Linked DNA regions of Nothobranchius furzeri. The protein of the gene in region 1 interacts with the protein of each later gene in a pairwise test. Links are inferred from orthologs where the notes say so. Each region holds a gene or a part of one and is shown in the gene's direction. Other genes may lie near its edges.

The links.
Region 2: the proteins of epas1b (region 1) and ikbkg interact in a two-hybrid assay, tested with the Homo sapiens proteins (2 studies listed by BioGRID, with this or other methods). The link is inferred for Nothobranchius furzeri from reciprocal best matches to the Homo sapiens genes EPAS1 and IKBKG.
Region 3: the proteins of epas1b (region 1) and bmal1a interact in binary tests that used the Homo sapiens proteins (3 or more experiments, as listed by UniProt). The link is inferred for Nothobranchius furzeri from reciprocal best matches to the Homo sapiens genes EPAS1 and BMAL1.

What each region holds. Positions count from the first base shown.
Region 1 is NC_091752.1:43,774,039-43,778,298, forward strand, and holds the start of epas1b (endothelial PAS domain-containing protein 1b), read left to right. Parts: upstream 1-1,440; 5' UTR 1,441-1,672; coding exon 1,673-1,698; intron 1,699-4,260.
Region 2 is NC_091755.1:44,542,086-44,546,211, forward strand, and holds the start of ikbkg (NF-kappa-B essential modulator), read left to right. Parts: upstream 1-1,190; 5' UTR 1,191-1,215; intron 1,216-1,388; exon of another isoform or gene 1,389-1,713; intron 1,714-3,048; 5' UTR 3,049-3,050; coding exon 3,051-3,189; intron 3,190-4,126. Other genes in the region: tmed4 (transmembrane emp24 domain-containing protein 4), read right to left, coding at 1-112, 186-286, 913-1,102. UniProt on the Homo sapiens protein: Regulatory subunit of the IKK core complex which phosphorylates inhibitors of NF-kappa-B thus leading to the dissociation of the inhibitor/NF-kappa-B complex and ultimately the degradation of the inhibitor.
Region 3 is NC_091744.1:85,112,738-85,116,388, forward strand, and holds part of bmal1a (basic helix-loop-helix ARNT like 1a), read left to right. Parts: intron 1-379; coding exon 380-409; intron 410-489; coding exon 490-647; intron 648-1,359; coding exon 1,360-1,439; intron 1,440-1,527; coding exon 1,528-1,620; intron 1,621-3,651. UniProt on the Homo sapiens protein: Transcriptional activator which forms a core component of the circadian clock.

The sequences.
Region 1 (4,260 bases):
GAGTTTGTTTTCTCCCACTTAAAGTATCAAACATAAATAAACACAATAATAGTAAAGATAGGATTTTAAACCAAGACAAAATAATAGTTACTAACAGGAAAAGTAACATTTTTATATAGTCTCCCACAGCAGCTGCTTCTAATTCAAGTGGGACGTTAAAATGTGTGTATTAGTTAATAATTGTTCTGTTACAGTGATAAACTATTTATAAAGATCTTCAGATAAGAAAAGCAAGCCTTCAGTATAGAATTTTGTTTTTGTTTTTATTGTTTGTTAGCTGGCTAGCTTCACGCTATGTGCTGTGAGATTGCAGGTTCAATCCCAGCTCCGGACAGAGAATTCTGCTGTTGTGTCCTTGGGCACGACACTTAATCCACCTTACCTGCTGGTGGTGGTCGGAGAGACCGGTGGCGCCAGTGCTCGGCAGCCTCGTCTCTGTCAGTGCGCCCCAGGGCAGCTGTGGCTACATCATAGCTCATCACCATCAGTGTGTGAATGTGTGTGTGTGAATGATACACTGTAGTGTAAAGCACTTTGAAGTCCTTACTCTGAAAGGCACTATACAAGTGTGGGCCATTTATCATTTATCACACGTTCACTACACTGGGCTAATTTCTGCTTCACAAGTTGTTACAAATAAACAAAAATATGTCAAAATCTTTAACTCAGATTGGTTTATTTTTACGTTTTGAGACAGAGGAGAAGTAGCTGAAAAGTTTTATAAGTGTATGTAAAACTGATGCCAGCATTTTTTGATATTTCATTTAAATTCTGATATCAGTCGATATCAACCCTCTGGAGGCAGACGTTGCAGATTTGCAACGTTAAAACCTACCTACCTAGTTACTCCACATATGTATTTCATGAGCATTTTTAAACTCAGAAGTACCCCTGAAGGACTTAGTTGTTCGTCCTTTTATCAAAACTTATGTTGAGCCTGAGAAGGTTAATGGTAGAAGGATAAAATCAAACAGTTTTAGTATCTGTTGAGACAATTGCTCCTGTCATCGCTGACAGTGTAACTAACAGGAGTTATTACATATTTATTAATGTTTTGGTTTTGTGGTGAGAATTAGAAATGATCAGAGAAGCATGTAACAATTCTGGTGAAGATGTGCACACACGCGCGCGCGTGCACGAGAAAATAGAAAATATACAATACATGAGAGCCTATTAAGATACTAGTTTTCCATCATGTAGTAACCTGACGTGTAAAAGGTGTGCAGACCCGTGGCCACGCCCCGCCACATCCAGGTACAGGTGGGAGCTCTCAGTTCGGGGGTGGAGATGATTCGCCGTGAGGGGGTGGCTTCAGGCGGCCACCGGAGCCAATCAGCTCCCTGGGACTGCTGTCACCGGGCCAACTGACGTTCAGGTCAGAGCCCGAACCCTCCTGACCGCTTCTGGTCTCAGAGAACGGGGAGTTTTCCCACTGGCGGATTTGCGGGCGTTTGTGAGCGGGAGCTGAGCGCCACTTGAGCCTGCGCGGAGCGCTTCCTGTGCAGGGTGAGAGGCTGTACGATCCTCGGCAGTGTTCTGAGACCGTACGTCCCCGAACCCCCTCCGGACCGGATCCACGGACTAAATAACCCGCTGGGACTGCGCACATTGGCCTAAAAGCCACTGACAACCTTCTGAAGTTGGACTTAACTCAGACTGTCGGAGTTCCAACATGACGGCAGACAAGGAGAAGAAACGGTAAGATCATCAGAGTTGGTCTGATCTGGGATCTGCTGCTGCTGCTGCGCTCAAAAGCGACACAACTGTAAGAAAACTTGTGTCAGGTGCGCGTTTTGTCTTCATTTACATCAATTAGGCGCAAAGTAAAATCAAACGCCTTCATCATGAAATCGTTATTATGGCTTTTTATTTATTTATCTGCTGAGCTCAAGGGCCCTACTTGATGTGTTTAAGGTCTCCTGTAAACATGACTAACATGGAAGCTGTGGTTTCCTCCCATAAAACTTTACTGCAGATTTACAGGAAACCACTAGAAGGAAGGCAGGGGGAAGTCTAACTTTTACTGCAAGTTGCATAAAATCTGCCAAAAAACGGACGCTTTTCACGGAGATGCACCCAAAAATCAGCTGGCGACTGGAGGCCTTAATGTGAAACTCAATTATCCAATTACTTTTCCGCCTTTGGTCTGTAAATGCATCGTTCAAATTAGCATCAGTAGGTCTAACATTTAACTTCTGGAATCTTACGTTTCAAGCTCATTTGCTTTATTCAGACTTGTTGCGTTAGCCCAATTTTTGTGCAAAATGCATTTAGAGACGCACAAACAGATTCATCCGGTGACCCGAATCGGCGACGTTCAGCCGGATCAGCCTCACTGATGGAACGGAATTCTTATCTAAAAGCAGTTGTTCCCGGTCCCTGACGGCACCGTCACTGAGGGCTCAGGCACACTAGCTGTAACAGATCTTCCAAACTAATTTTTCATGCTAAGATAATCGGATTTTCATCTTTAACAAACTGGAATCATTCAAACTAACCACATCAGTGCAGAGCTGAGCGAGAACGAGGATCAGATTAGGTCTACCGCATCGTGCAGAAAGCTTATTTTAAAGGAAGATTTTTTTCCACCTCCAGAGCTGAGTGTGATTTTGACCTCTGACCTGCATCGAGCAGAACCAGGTTGTCTGTTCAGGTCAATCAGCTTGGTGATTGCAGCAGCCTGCTCAGACCTTTAGGTTCTTCTTGATGAGCCTTCCCCTGCTGGAGATTACATCTGTTTAATCTGAGTCTTGATTTCTGTTGGAACGTTCAAACCGCTGCGGCATTTTCCCAATAACACCATGATGTTGTTGTTGTGTAAGCTGAAACCAGCTCGTCACACTGACTGGGAGCTGTTTTAAGGCTGGGGACTAGTGTACAGATGGTGTGGGGGGGCAGCATGGCCCAACATCTGTGCTGGTTTCAGCTCGTTTTCATCACCACAACAAACACTTTCCAAGCTCAGCTGTCAGAGGCACAGTTCACGTCTTAATCAAGACGTTAACTGTGTTCGTCCAGTGGATCGGAACCAGAACCAAGCAGGTCCTTAGACTGGAACTCCAAAGACTTAAACGCTCAAACACACGAGATAAATAACAGACTGTGTGTGTGTGTGTGTGTGTGTGTGTGTGTGTGTGTGTTCTACCGTAGCTGTGTTCATGACCCTGATAAGTTGTGTGATTCACCGCTGCAGGTTTGGCTCAAATGATCCCGATGAGTTTTAGCTGAAGCTGATAGGTTGGCTGCTAGACTCCAGGTGTTTAAAATCAGGTATAAACATTTTGTGTATTTGCTGCAGTGGAGAAGCAGATTATTTTTGTTTCGTGTTTTAGTTTTACTTCAACTCGTGTTTTCTTTTATTTCCGACTTTTTATTTCGCTGCTGAGTAATAAAATAAAATAAAATAAAATGAAAAACTGTTAAAATGATTTAGTCATTTTCAGATTTACAAACAAGCTTTTGTTTTATCGGGTCTCCCATATGTACTTCCTACTCTCCTTGTTAAAGTCACACGTGTCTGGTGCTGTTTTCACTATGTCAGCACTAACACACAATCACACACGTGCATGGGCACATACACACACACACACACACACACACGTACACACACACACACACACACACACACACACACACACACACACAAACACACACACGCACAATAAAAGTAATCTGGTTTCATCACCATTAAACACACAGATCATTTAAAATGTTATTTCTGCATGTTTTGAACATCATAATCAGGAAGGTCTCATATAAAATATCAATTAAATACCTGAAGATGCTCTTATTTTGATGAGTTAAACCTCTTACTAATTATGTTGACAGCAAACCCAGTAATCACCTTGCTAAGAAACAACTTAAGAACAAAACTGCTTTTTATTATTTCCACTCTGACTAATTTACTTTGTGCCACAAACAACAGACATAATAAAAAAGTTCAGCAGCTTCAGTTTTAAAGTGGTCAGAGGAACTGGTGGTGCCAGTGTTCAGCAGGCCTCGCCTCTGTCAGCGCGCCCCAGGGCAGCTTCGGCTACATCGTAGCTTATCATCACCAGTGTGTGAATGTGTGTGTGAATGTGTGTGTAGAAACCTAAGAAGGTGCTAAACACAAACCATTAGCCATTTTTACCAGCTGGGTGTTTATTTTCTAATCTCTGTCTCTGCTGAAGTCTGACTTAATCTGTGGTGGTTTAGACACCAGCTTCTGCTTCGCCACAGACCAGAACAGTCCGGGTGTGGTTCTGATCACCAAAGACA
Region 2 (4,126 bases), on another chromosome or scaffold:
CAAACAGAGCCATCTTTGTGGAGTTGGAGTGCAAACAGATCTGATGCTCTCCAGGAGTGTGAGAGGTGAAGGTGAAGCGTCCGTCAGAGCCGTACTGACGAGAGAGGATGATCTGGAACGTGGAGGAGACACCTTCAGACTTACACCTCTGCTCTGAACCTCCAGACCTTCCTGTCTGGCTTTACCTTCGTGTCTGGATCCTTGATCTCTACATGCATGCCAAGGCCGGGGGTGGATGGGAGGAAGGAAGTGGTTTGTTTGTCCCACAGCTGAGTCCGGTACTTTCCTGTCACACACACACACACACACACACACACACACACACACACACACACACACACACACACACACACACACACACACACACACACACACACACGATCATCCACAAATTGGATGCCAGTAATAAACCAGCTTAACATCTGCTGTCCTGTGTTAGGACGGAATATTGGACACATGGATGTAATAATAGTATTTATCTCATAAAATCATCCCAGCAATGAATGAAATATTTAATAAACATTCACATTTATACCCCATCTCCTCTTTGCATTTAAAAGATTGTGTATTCATTTTGATATTTGACAGATCTTTTGTTTAGGTTTGATGGAAATACCTTCGTAAACAGGAAAATGTTTATTTTATTGATAATAAACAACAAGCTAAAGATCAATGGCCAAAAGTTGAATGTTTCCCTTAAATGATCTGAATTTTCAGATATTTAAACGTTATTTCTCCTCAGTGGTGAACAACCCGCAGCTGAAGCCTCCAGAATTTCCTGTCTGACTCGAGTCTCTAATAATAATAATAATAATAATAATAATAAACAACTATTGGTGTCATCTGCTGCATCTTTAAACAACCAGCTGTTAGCAAGACGGCTAGTTAGCTGCGTTAAGCTAACCGGCTCACCGATCACCATCGTCTCGTCTGGAATTTCTTCAATGAAGCATTTTTTCTCCGTCTCTCCGATGTGGAAATAAAGCGCGCCGCTGGGGTAAATCCAGGCCACCAGAAGAGAAACCGCTGCGGCAGAGATGGGGAGCATCTTCACCTCCTTCACGTTAGCGGACATCAAAATGCTGCAGCGCACTGACGTCATCTTCCACTACGGAACAAGGAAGGGGCTTTCCTGAGAACGGAGTGTTTACACCCTGGGTTAATACTGACAGGAGAGTTTTCCTCTGCAGCGCTTAAAGATACGATGTGCCACTGGTATTATTTAAATTCACAGCCATTTCGATTTGATCACACACTTGTAATTTGTCAACTTTTTTATTGTTCATTTGTGTTAATTAAACGTCTTAAAATAAACGACACGTTTTTCGATGTTCGAGTCACGGGTGTTCTGCCTACAAGGCTAAACTGAGGGTGATATATCACGATTTTTCCACGCTAATAACAGTCGAAAAGCTGACAGCTTACCTTTGGTTTGCCTCTGATTTACCTCTGGTAGTCTTAAACTCACGAAGGAAAGGATTCAAAACTGGACACATGCTTTAGGAAGGCCACATGATCCGTTGATGTAGGTCCGTGTTTATGTGAAACCAAAGGCGTCCGTTTGCCCAGCCGTTGTTGTGCTATATTAGCTTACTGAGCTAATTAGCTGTATCTCAGCTGTTTGAGTCAGATTGCTCTTTTAAACTCGGTGAAGGGAGTAGTTTGTGAGTCTGAGACTGGATAATTGTTGTTTACGACATAAAATTTAAAAAGGTAAGACAAGTTTTGTGTCTGTTAGCTGTGTGTTAGCTATGTTGTCTAAACAGTATTTAACGTGAGCTTTGCTGAGGTTATCGTGATGTTCTTCATAGCAGACACCTGATCTTACTTTTATGACAATGACAAGGCTGAGGTCCCATAAGAAGAGGTTGATGACCACCTGTTCTCAGGTGTAACTGTTCAGAAGGGCTTCTGGCACCTCGCCAATGAGCCGTGACACAAACCGGTCATATTAAACACAGTTAATTCACATTTAAACTGAAAGTGAAAGTTTCACGTTTCCAGATCCCCAACGGGGCTGAAACGTGTCCAGTCCCCCTAGACGTCATGCTCAGGTCTTACTTACACCTGAAATGTTCACTTGTTCCATGGTGGCTTTTAGGATCGTTTTTCATTTTATTTTTCTTTTAATCACATATTTATGTACTTCTTATTTTAAAATCAAACAGCACAGCCACGATTTGAGCCTGCTGTCTCTCAAATAATAACAATTTTAATTGAACAAGGACAATATTCATACAAGGGAAAAATATACATGCAGGAGATCCTTGTGACTTCCTGTTTTTTCATCTTTATGAGCCATTTGGTATGTTATAGTAATGTGAATTTAACAATAAGAACATGGTGATAACTAGAATTAGAACCATTTGTATTTCTGATATTTTTGTGCATTTGAAAGCGATCGGCTGTAGACTCAGATAATTGCTTGATTGTTCTTTTTTCTAATTTACTTCTGACTTCAATGTGTAGATTATTGGAAACCATATTTATAAGTAAGGAAGTAGTTAGCGAACCAGGGGAAACTTTTTTCTTACTAGAGCTACAGAAGCAGCAAAAGTTGCTGTTTTGTCTGTTGTTGCATTAGATGACAATCGGAGCGACCACAATAACATAAAAAAAGGAATAGAATAGACTTTATTAATCCCACAGTGGTGAGATTCACTCACTACAGGTGTGACGTCATAAAGCAGTAAAGAAGTGACTGAACTCTGCAGTTTCTGGGATGATTTTCTGTTGGTGGTGAAACAAACTGTTCCTGCCTCTGCTGGTTTGAACTGACCTGCAGTGTTGATGGTAACAGGTTTTTTAGTCTTTCTTACCAACGTACACAATATGTTTTAATTTGACTAACAAAAAAGTTTCTCCAATGCCCGTTTAAATAAATGCCACGAAGGCTGGATTTTAGACGTTATTAAAAAATGAGCTAAAAGTGTAACAAGTCTCCAAAGGAAACCAGGAAACAGGTTCAGGAACCGCCAGAGTCTGAGTTCTTCATATGAAGAAGTGAATGGATTAGATCTCTGTAATTCCCAGCCTTTGCTTCTGCAGGAATGGTGCAGCCGCAGCCTGATGGTCCGATGCAGTGGGACATGTCAGGAGAGGACTGCGGGGGGGTCCTCAGGGTCCCACCAGAGTTCGCTGGTAATGAAGTGGTGACCAGATTGTTGTGTGACAACCAGCAGCTTCGAGGTACCTAAAAACACACGACGGTCACGCTTGTGTGTATTACCAGATGCTCAGCGGGGCTTTTAGGTTTCCGTGTGTCTGATTTAGCATTTTCAGAAGTCGTTTAAGTTTAGAGTTATCGAGGTAAAAGAACAAAGTAAATTCAAACAGTAATTTCAGCCTTTACTGTAACGGTGATTGGATGCAGGAGCGGTGTCCACGACAGGCTGAGTTTATCAGGATCAACACATGCTGCTTTTATGCAGTTCCAGACTTTCCTAGATGACAATCCAATCCTTGAGTTTTTCAGTCTGCTTCTTGTTGTCGGCACAGCTCTGAATCTGCTCTTCTAGCTGTCCGTAGCAACATTTCTTTAGCTGCTGATGCTAAATCGGCAGCGGTTTTGGTTCTACTAGCCCTCTCAGCAGCCTCGACACAATCAACCACCCACTTCCTATCAGAATAGTATGTTGGCATTTGAGGTAGGAGTCAGTGAATCCTGCCTTGCTCAGCTTCAGAGGGTTCTGAGTGCTGCAGCTCGCCTTTTAAGTGGCAATCAAAGGTTTTCCCTCATTTTAGCCTCCCTGCACTGGCTGCTTGTTCATTTTAGGATTGATTTTAAAATGATTTTATTTGCTTTTAAGGGCTTAAATGGCCCGGCCCCTCCCTATCTGTCTGAGCTACTGCATCGCTACACGCCCGCTCGTTCGCTCAGGTCAGCTGATCACAGGAGTAGCTACTCCTCAACACGGATCAGTCACCCACACATTCACACACTGGTGGTGATGAGCTACGATGTAGCCACAGCTGCCCTGGGGCGCACTGACAGAGGTGAGGCTGCCGAGCACAGGCGCCACCGGTTCCTCCGACCACCACCAGCAGGCAAGGGGGGTTTAGTGTCTTGCCCAAGGACACAACAGCAGCATTCTCTGGTCAGAGTCGGGATCAAGATGGTGAGATT
Region 3 (3,651 bases), on another chromosome or scaffold:
TTTAGGATGAATTTTGTCTCGGAAACCTGCTCGAAGTGTGTTGCGACCCATCCAAAGCAACCGGGTTTCCTGGCGACATTTTAGACTTCCCTGAAACTTGCATGATTAATCGTAGCCCGGTGTGATTCTGGCAGTTTAATAAACCCTGTCTGCATATTTGTGATTAAGTTGCACAACCTGAATGAGTTGTTTATTATAAAGCACCTTACCAGGAAGCCCAAGGCGCTGTTCCAGATCAAATCTAATTACAAACTAAAATCACAAGAGACCGAAACCAATTAAAAAAAAACTGTTAAAACTATAAATCTTCAATCCTTAAAATGTGTGATTTGTTCTACCCAGCTGTTCCCTTTTAATGTGTCCTGTTTATTTTGTTCAGCGACCAACAAGGCAGGATTAAAAATGCCAGGTAATACTTTTTAAATACCATCTTAACTTCTGATTGATTTTGCGTTGAATAAAGATTTCCACCGTTTCAAATCTTTGCAGAGAGGCTCACAGTCAGATCGAGAAGCGTCGGAGGGACAAGATGAACAGCTTCATTGATGAGCTGGCGTCTCTGGTGCCCACCTGTAACGCCATGTCCCGTAAGCTGGACAAGCTCACTGTCCTGCGTATGGCTGTCCAGCACATGAAGACGCTCAGAGGTTAGCATCCGCCCCGGGGAACGCTGACCGCATCAGAGCGAGATACAAAAGTGCACTCACTGGCTTCTGTAATCGCATTAACTGTCAGAATTGCAACAAAGCAAAAGACTGTTTATAGTAAATAATACTGACAACTCTGGCTGCAGACGCACTTCCTGTCATGGCTGGAAAATAAATGTGCTTTATTAAAAGGCAGTGTTAAAGGAAGGACAGGATGTTCTTCCTGCTTTTTCATATTTTGAAGGGAAATGCCAAACATCTGCTCACCGAGGTGGTGTTGTGTTGATATTTTTCCTCTCTAATATTTCATAATCGAGCTGCGACAGGACAGATTTCTGAGTAGATCGATCAATAATGATAATCTGTAGTTTCGTTTCCGATTGCAGATGGAGCGTTAAAGGATAACGGCTCAAGATAGGACTTTTTTTCCCCTCGCTGACTCTGTTTTCTTATTGGAGGCTGAAAATCCGCCATCTTTCACGGGAACTTTCCTGAGCAGTTAAAAAATGTATCGTGGTTACAGAAAGGGGCATATTTATTATGACAAAATAAAGATAAGGGGATGGAAATGGGTTACCAGAGCCAGATATTCCAGCACTACTAATTCTGTTGACCATCAACAAATGTAGAAGTATGTTCAGATTAACCAACAGGAGCAGGATGTGAGCTCTGATGTGTGCAGGTGGAGTTCAGTTGTTTTTATTGCATGCAGGTGCAGCCAACCCGTACACCGAAGCAAACTACAAACCTTCCTTCCTCTCAGACGATGAGCTGAAGCATTTGATACTAAGAGTGAGCACGAAGAGCTTCTAATCTATATCAAAATTATGCATCTGAAATCAATTAATCTGTGATTATTTTGTGTGTTTTAACGCTGCAGGCCGCTGATGGCTTCCTGTTCGTGGTTGGGTGCGATCGCGGCAAAATCCTCTTTGTTTCTGAGTCTGTGTACAAGATTCTCAACTATAGCCAGGTATGCTAACAGTTTAGAGGCCATGGGTAGATGAAAAGGTGCAACCATTTGTTTATAACCATAAAAATAAGAGTGTCTGGTCTGAAGTAGGGTCGTCGCGGTAACCTGTGTAGCGGTAAACCCCGGTAAAAAAGGTTGACAATAATAATAACCATCTTGTTTTTAAAAACATATATTATCTCGGTGGATTACCGTGGCTGCGGTGTAGGCGCGGTGACCCTTACCAGCCACCGTATCATCTGCTGAAGTTGCCGGTGACACATGCGCACTTTGTTCAATCAATCGATTTTATTTGTAGAGCACCTTCCGCAACGTTATCAGAAGCCCAAGGTGCTGAACAGCATCATCATAAAAACATTCCCAGTACCTGGGCTTAAGAGCAAGATAAAAACATAAAATCATAAAATAACAAGCAAGCAATGTTACAAATACAGAGAGATAACGGAATGAGACTAATCAATTAAAAACAAATGGTGGACAAAATAAGATCAAGCATCCTGATCAAAAAGAAGTATTAAAAACCATAATGTCAGGGCAATTCAATGAACCCTAGCGCTGAAAAGCAATCAAATAGAAATGAGTCTTTAGACGAGACTTGAAGGGACGGCGCCTGCCTAATGCTCAATGGCAATTCATTCCACAGAGTTGGAGCCAAAACAGAAAATGCACGATAACCCCTCGATTGATATTTCGACCGGGGGACCACCAGAAGTTCATACTTGTGCAAAAGTGCAGTAATGTAAGAGGGGGCACTGCCCTGGAGGGCCTTATAAACAGAGTTAAGATCTTACATTTAGCTCGATATTGCACTGGGAGCCAGTGCAGAGCATCCAGCACTGGAGTAGTGTGATCTCGACATCTAGTACCGGTCAGGAACCTAGCCACTGAGTTCTGTACAAATTGGAACCGTGCAACCGTGCACTGGCCCAGACCGGCATACAGAGCGTTACAGTAGTCCAGGTGAGACAGGACGAATGCATGCAACACAGACTCCAGATGAGCTCTGGACAGCAGAGGCCTGATCCTAGATAGTCATTTCAGATTAAAAAAACAGGACCTCACCACCGTATTTACGCGAGTGTCAAAATTAAGTGAGGAGTCAATTTTTATCCCCAAATTACTATTTTCTTTTCAGAGGGGGTCAATGGGCCAAGGTCAATATCAGCACCTGAGCCATTTCTTCTGCCAGGATGAAGTATTATGACTTCCGGTTTGCTCTCATTTAGGTGCAAAAAATTAGAAGCCATCCAACATTTTATGTCCTTCAAACAGTGCAGTAAAGGAGAAACAGATCTATCCTCCCCACGTCGAAGAGGGAGATAGATTTGGCAGTCATCAGCAAAAAAATGAAATTTCACATTATGCCGACGAAGGAGGACTCCAAGAGGAAGCAAATACACTGCAAATAGGAGAGGACCAAGGACAGAGCCCTGTGGCACACCCCAACAAAGTCTCACGCAGGGTGACGTCACCTCACCCATCTGAACACTAAATGTCCTGTCATGAAGGTAGGAGGGAAGCCATTGGAGGGCCTGCCCAGCTATACCCACCCAATGCTGTAGTCGGTCCAGAAGGACTTCGTGGTCGACTGTATCAAAAGCTGCAGATAAGTCCAGCAATAGTAGGACGACATTGTTATCCATGTCACCGGCTGAAAACGTGTCATTAAAAACCATTAAAAGCAGATTCAGTGCTGTGACCTGCCCTGAACCCTGACTGAAAAGTCTCCCATACATCATTTGTGTCCATAAAGGCAACCAACTGTGAATACACGACCTTCTCCAGCAGTTTGGAAAGAAAAGGGAGTTTTGAGATGGGCCCGTAATTAGCTAAGTTTGTCACATCCAGTCCCGGCTTTTTTAACATAGGATGAATAACAGCCTTCTTAAACGAGGACGGAACCATACCAGAAGTAAGACTGCCATTTATGATTGCCAAAAGCAAAGGGCCTATCACTGGAAAGAGTTCTTTATCAATTCTAGGGGGCAGCACATCACAAGGGGAGCCAGATGGTTTAAGCTGAGCGACCAG